2 linked regions of the Ovis aries genome follow. The protein of the gene in region 1 interacts with the protein of each later gene in a biochemical or structural test. Links are inferred from orthologs where the notes say so. Each region holds a gene or a part of one and is shown on either strand. Other genes may lie near its edges.

Region 1 (3,649 bases):
CCACACGTATCTACCCACCCACCATCCACACACGTCCACTCACTCTCCACCCACCCACCATTCACACACATCCACCCACTATCCACGCACACCCACCCACCTGTCCACCCATGTCCACCCACCACCCACCCACCCACCATCCACACACATCCACTCACTCTCCACCCACCCCACCATCCACACACATCCACCCACCTGACCACCCACATCCACCCCACCACCCACCCACCTACCATCCACACACGTCCACCCGCCACCCACCCCCACCATCCACACATCCACCCACCCGCCATCCACCCTCACCAACCATCCACCATCCACACACGTCCACCCGCCACTCACCCCCACCATCCACACACATCCACCCACCCTCCACTCACCCCCACCATCCACACACATCCACCCAACCACCATCCACCCCCACCCACCACCCACCCACCATCCACACACATCCACCATCCACACACATCCACCCACCCTCCACTCACCCCCACCATCCACACACATCCACCCAACCACCATCCACCCCCACCCACCACCCACCCACCATCCACACACACCCACCATCCACACACACCCACCCACCCACCATCCACACACATGCACCCACCCACCATCCACACACGCTCCACCCACCACCCACCCCTACCATCCACACACGTCCACCATTCACCCACCCACCCACCATCTATACATATCTACCCACTCTACACCCACCCCCACCATCCACCCACGATCCATCCACCTGCCCACTGTCTACCCACCCATCTGCACACCTTGAGAATAGAGACTGGAAAGCTCAACATCAAACCCTTCTGCCCACTCACTTCTAGAAGAACCATGAGGGAAAGTTGTCACAAATGCAGATTCCCAGGCCTCGGCCCCAGAAGCTGAGAGTCAGCTGGTGGGGGTGGGCTCTGGAAACTGTTCTCCCACCTCTCTAGTTGAGGCAGAAGCAGCTGCTCCAGGCCTTCCCCCTGAGCAGCAGGTGGCCTGGCCTGGCCTGGCACTGCATGTCCACAGAGGGGCAGAGGCCGTGGGGGTCCCTGGGTCTTGGGCCACATCCCTGACAATGCCTGACACGCCCTCCACCCCGCTTTTTCTTCCTCCTCCCCAGTTGCTTATATTTCTTCAACCCGGAAACATGACAACATTAAAGATGATTCTGAGGTGAGTAGGAAATGGCTCGTCAGTGTCTGTGTCTGTTATAGAGGTCCATCAGCTCGTTTCTGGGGCCACTGTGGGAACTCAAAGGTGAACTAGGAGTGTCTGGGGAGACGCGGCCTGGTGGGCACCGGGGGTTGCATACATCAAGGCATCGGGGTCACAGGTCTGAGAAGTCTTAAGAGACATTAAGCACAGAGGCAATTGCCAAACAGGAGGTGGGACTGGTCCTCTAATCCCAGGACTGGTTCCCCTGGCACCCTCAGGTGACCTAGAGGCTTCCTGCGGAGGCGCTTCATTAACATGACAAAGGAGCATTTTGCTGGCTCTCTGCACCTGGAACCCCCTGGGCTTAGGAGCTCCATGCCAGGAATGGGGCCCTGGAACAAGTAGGGACTTTGTATTACCAACCACAACATCAGTTTGACTCTGGATGATAAATGAGGCTCTGAGAAGTTTGGTCCCGTGCGAGGGCGTTCCAGCTGGAGCTTCCATCCACGGAACCTCCTCGCAGCACCTGGGGAGGCCACACCTTTTCCAAGGTCCTTGTCCCTTCTGGACTTGAGCTCTTTCTCCCTGGTCATCTGTGTCTGGAATGAGTCAGGAGCGCTCAGTTACCCTTCCTCCAGCACAGAATCCTCTTCAGAGAGAGTCCTCAGGAGGGGCGCATGTGGCCTCTCCCTGCCGTCAACGGTCGCTTCTAGTGACGCTTGCTGTGGCGTGTCTCCCGAGGCATTAGCAGGTTATGCTTTGTGCCACCCGGGGAGGGCCAGGTGAGCTTCTGATCCCAGCACCAACGGCCCTGGGGTGTGTGAGCCCATGGTCACCTCCTTGGCAGTCAGGGCAGGCTGGCCCTGAGCATCCCTCCTGGCTCACAGAGGGGCCACCTGACTGGTGATGGCTCCTGGATCTCTGCTCCTTCCATCAGGAGCTCTAGGGGTCTGCTCCTAGGTGGGGAGGCCATGGGTGATGAGTCCCCTCCCGCTTCCTCCCATCTTGTCCACCCCTATCAGGACCTCAAGCCAGTCATCGACGGGATGGACGGGATCAAGATATCTCAGGGGCTCGGGCTGCAGGACTTCGACCTGATCAGGGTCATCGGGCGCGGGAGCTACGCCAAGGTCCTGCTGGTACGGCTGAAGAAGAACGACCAGGTCTATGCCATGAAGGTGGTAAAGAAGGAGCTGGTCCATGACGACGAGGTGAGACTGCCTGTGTTCCCCGTTGTTCAGTTGCCAGGTCGTGTCCAACTCTGTGACACATGGCCCACAGCACTCCAGGCCTCCCTGTCTGCTCCTCTGCGTGCAAGTAAGTGCACAGAACAAAATGGATGCTTTTCCCGCTTTCCAGTGTGCAGCTTAGTGACTTTTAGCGCATTCACGGTATTGGGTAACCATCACTACCGCCCAGCCCACGACACTTCCTCCCCGTGAGCAGTCTCTCCCCAGTCTCTTCCAGCCCCACAGCCGCCCGGCCGCTTCTGTCTCTGTGCATTTGCCTGTTCTGGACTCTGCATGTAAATGGAACCATGCGCTGTGGGACCTTCTGTGTCTGGCTTCTCTGACGGAGCATCTCATTCTCACGGTCCATCCAAGTATATCGAGGCGCGGCACCTCCTCCATCTTTTCTAGGCCTCAGTTGTGTTCTGTTTTACGGACAGGCCCCGTTTGGCATGTGTGTCCATCCCTGATAAGCATGTGGCTTGTCTCCATTTCCAGGTGCGGTGAACGTCTGTGCAGCTGTCTGAGTCCCTGTTTTTACTCCTCTGGGTGTTCACCCGGGAGGGGACTGCCAGGTCGTAGGGTCTTTTTGTGTTTCACTCTGAGGAACAACTGAACCGTCTTCCCCGGTGTCGTTTTACGTTCCCACCAGCAATGCACGAGGGTCCCACTTCTGCCCATTCTTGCCAATACTGGCTGTGTTCTCTATTTTGATTATCGCTGTCCTAGCAGGTGTTTAGTGGCTTTGACAGGCTTTCAGCACCTTTTCATGGGCTTCTTGGCTCTGTGTACTTTTGATCTATTCTTTGATCCCTGAACGGGGGTTACGTCCCTTAGAAGCAGAGAGTGACTTCAGAGGGAGCAATGATGATGTCACTGTGAGATGACTTGATACACGTGGAGTGGGGGCCACGGCAGGGCTGCCCAGGCTTGCAGCTCAGAGGGCAGAGCCAGGGCTCCACCAAGTCCCCACCTGCCCTCCCAACAAGTGCGTTTGTGCAGTGCACACACCGCCCAGCTGGCTGCCAGCCCCTGGTGCTGAGCTCACAACTGAGCTGGTGCAACCCTGCCTGTCAGCTGAGGAAGCGGAGCCCTGGGGATGTATGGGGCTCAGCCAGCGTCTTCACTGCTGGTCACAGCCCTGCAAGGTGATTCCAAGTCCCCGCCCCGTGCATGGCTGGCTGGAGGGTTGATGGTGTCTTTGGGGGTGGGGCAGTTTCTAGAATGCTGAGAGGAGAGGTCTCCAGGGAGGGTTACTGCTGTGG
Region 2 (3,649 bases), on another chromosome or scaffold:
GCAAAAACATTGCAGCCCTAAAATATTCAATTATTAGCTGTTACTCCCGTTCACCAGGGGAAGTAATAAAACCTGGGGATGAATCAGAATGCACTGGGATGTTGCGATACCAGAATAAAGAAAATGGAGGAGAAACTATGACTTTTGATAACATCATAAGACTGACTCTGATATGAAGGGTGTTCCTCAGTTTTTATTTACTTTGAAACGTGAAGGTGTGACTAAACTTTTTGAGTGCTTTAGGTGTGAGTCACCTTATTTTCTTGACAAATGTTAGTGTTTACGTTTGAGGAATGTGTTTCGGAAACTTTTAATTTATTAGAAGTAAGAGGTGGTTTCAGTGAGTTTTCATTTTAATTGAAAACTAGCAAATAGTGTGGGTATAAGCGAGGCAGATACACTTGCCATAACAAAAGCGGTGAATCCAGGGAGCCCACGGGACCCTTGGGGACGTGAACGGACACATTTGTAACCAAATAATTCCAGTAGGGACTTTGCCTGCATGATGTTTAAGGCCTTGTTGGTAGTACAGCTAGTGTTACTGTCCAATAATAGATACTTAGAGGAAAAAGGAATTCAGTGGTCAAATGCATTTGGCACACAGTTTGTTTTGAAAATTTTTTCTGTTTTAATCAACGCCAGGGCTTTACCTCGCCTTTAATAACTGGTCTCCCCAGTGATTCCCAAGAGCATGATTATAGTTATATAGCATTTCCCAAATGTGTGTGACTGGGGCACTTTTTGAGGAAGGCTGATGAATCTTTCTTAGGTTTCCACATTTGAGGAAATGCTGTGCTGGTTCCATAGTAGGTCACAGATCCTGTTTGTTATGGACTGGATGAAGCCAGTCCTTCGTGTCAGATAAGAACCACCGAAATCATGCGGCATTTGGGTTCTAGAGTAGGGAAGCAGATGTGAGTATGAGAATTGTGAGGATAAATACTGGGTATGATGGAAGTGCCGTCCTCCCTGTTTGTGTGGTTCCTTAATACCGCTCATATAATTATTCTCTTTACCCACTAATTGCTGAGCTCGGGTGCAGGCCCGAGCCTTTCATTCTCTAGGGCCTAGCACTGTGCCAAGCACATAAACACTTTTGCATTAATTGGACGGTTGTACGACATATATTTAATGTATTAATAAAAGTGCCCTTTTTTTAAAGATTAACATACGGAAGACACTTCCTGTCTTTAGACTCATTTCTCCTATAATATGCCTCCATTCATATGGCGCCTTGCTGCCAAGAAGTTCAAAGTCCTGCTTGCTTGTGCTGCAGTTAATTCCTGCCACTTCCTATGAAGCTGTTACTCCTTTGATTGGGGAGGAAACCTGGATGCTTTTTGCTGACAGTCAAAATAAAGACTTAGGCTCATCTCTGTTACCCCGTGGCCTGAGTGAGGAGGGAAGACTGTTGTCAGGATCCAGACTCCACACAGGGTTTGTTTGAGCTGAGTCACTCTGCAGGACAGTCCCCAGTGGGGCCTGGGTACCCCGGGGATTAAGTCGAACCTGCATCTCTTGAAGGGGATGCCCTTCAGAGATACAGCAGTGAGCAGGCACATTTCTGTGTCTCCCCTAGGCCGTTTTATCTCCAGATAATGAGGTTTCTAGGGGCTTCCCTGGTGGCTCAACTGGTAACAAATCCGCCTGCAATGCTGGAGACCTGGTTCGATCCTTGGGTTGGGAAGATCCCCTGGAGAAGGGAAAGGCTACCCACTCCCGTATTCTGGCCTGGAGAGTTCCATGGACTGTATAGTCCATGGGGTCGCAAAAGAGTCAGACATGACTGAGCAACTTTCACTTTCAGTGAGGTTTCGACTGTGTGGTTGAAACTGTCTTCTTTATTAAAGGAAACTCGTATCTGTGAATTTTTCTATGTCATGCCTTGTAAGATTGGATCCTGTTTTAAAATTAATATGTTTGTTTGTAGTTTGGAGCTGAATTTCGCCGGTTTTCACTGGAAAGATCAAAACCTGGAAAGTTTGAGGAGTTTTATGGATTACTGCAACATGTTCATAAAATACCCAATGTTGACGTTTTAGTAGGCTATGCAGACATCCATGGCGATTTACTACCTATAAATAATGACGACAATTATCACAAAGCTGTTTCAACGGCCAACCCACTGCTTAGGATCTTTATACAGAAAAAGGGTAAGTACCAACATCCAGAGAAGTTGTTTGAGAATTAGAAGTTGTTAATTTTCCTCATTGATAGGATATACAGAGTTTGCCACAAATTTAAGGAATTAGACATTTTATGTGAATCTTATTAGCAAATTAACAAGTGAGTTAAGACATCTGTGATATTATTGGTTTATTAACATCTTTACACTTAATTAAGTGCACTTTAGAAAGTTGTGATTACTTTGTAAACCTTTAGATTCTTTTTCTTAATGGAAATTAGGAATATATTGAATCTTCGCGTTGAATGTGATTTTGTCCATTCAGAAAGATGTGGTAGGAAGAGTGTGGCTTTGGAGTCAGAGAAACATTCTCGACTTCCCTGGTGGCTCAGAAGGTAAAAGCATCTGCCTACAACTCGGGAGACCTGGGTTCGATCCCTGGGTTGGGAAGATCCTCTGCAGAAGGAAATGGCAGCCCACTCCAGTATTCTTGCCTGGAAAATCCGATGGACAGAGGAGCCTGGCAGGCTGCAGTCCATGGGGTCGCAGAGAGTCGGACACGACTGAGCGACTTACGTATACGTACATAAGGTGACTCTGGTGGTAAAGAACCCGCCTGCCGATGCAACAGACATGAGTTGGATCCCTGGGTCAGGAAGATCCCCTGGAGGAGGAAATGGCAACCCACTCCAGTATTCTTGCCTGGAAAATCCCATGCACAGAGGAGCCTGGAGGGCTGCAATTCATGGGGCCACAAAGAGTCACAACTTTGAAATACTGTGTTTACTACTTACTAGGTACTTGACGGAAAGCTATTTACTTTTCCAGGTTGCAGTGTCTTTATCTACAGGAGGAGCATGCCATCTCATGGCATTGCTGGGGGTTTAACTGAGCTCAGTGCTTCCGGGTTTCAGTGTCTTTATCTACAGGAGGAACGTGCCATCTCATGGCATTGCTGGGGGTTTAACTGAGCTCAGTGCAGAGCCTTGGCGTGTACTAGGCCTCCTCTAACTGTTGGCTTTCCTCTAAGGTGTTTCTCACAGAAAATACAATTAGTTAATTATCTGAAAATTAGTAAGTCATCATTTTGGAGGAATGTAAACATTGATAATTGGTCTTGCAGAAGAAAGTTTTAAATAACCACTGTATATGGCAAGCACTGCAACGTATTTTGACTTTTAAAAGCCCTAAAAAGATTTGTTTTGCCTTTGTGGCCTCTTCCGTGTGTGTCTCTGTGTCTGCCTGTAGATGGGTGCCATGCATGCTTCTGCTTCCTTTGTCTTTGGAAAATGAGGAGGTTTGGAAAGGCAGCATGACAGACTCCAGCCCAGCACTGGTGGGATGATTAAAGCCTGACTGTGCTTGTAAACCAACCCAGCGAGCAGTCAGAGAGTGGGCTGAGATTACCCTTGAAGGCGAAACTTTATTTCAAACCAGTTGATAAGCTTTGGACCACTCCCAGGGCTCTGAAATTCCACTGATTGTGTATCTTTGCTTCTGGGTTTGGAGGAACTCAAGTCCACC

Evidence for each region. The genes of interacting proteins can lie anywhere in the genome.
Region 2: the proteins of PRKCZ (region 1) and PARD6B form a complex in vitro, tested with the Homo sapiens proteins (2 studies listed by BioGRID). The link is inferred for Ovis aries from reciprocal best matches to the Homo sapiens genes PRKCZ and PARD6B.

Annotation. Positions count from the first base shown.
Region 1 is NC_056065.1:49,927,296-49,930,944, reverse strand, and holds part of PRKCZ (protein kinase C zeta type), read left to right. Parts: intron 1-1,117; coding exon 1,118-1,170; intron 1,171-2,177; coding exon 2,178-2,366; intron 2,367-3,649. UniProt on the Homo sapiens protein: Calcium- and diacylglycerol-independent serine/threonine-protein kinase that functions in phosphatidylinositol 3-kinase (PI3K) pathway and mitogen-activated protein (MAP) kinase cascade, and is involved in NF-kappa-B activation, mitogenic signaling, cell proliferation, cell polarity, inflammatory response and maintenance of long-term potentiation (LTP).
Region 2 is NC_056066.1:78,710,555-78,714,203, forward strand, and holds part of PARD6B (partitioning defective 6 homolog beta), read left to right. Parts: intron 1-1,930; coding exon 1,931-2,153; intron 2,154-3,649. UniProt on the Homo sapiens protein: Adapter protein involved in asymmetrical cell division and cell polarization processes. Probably involved in formation of epithelial tight junctions.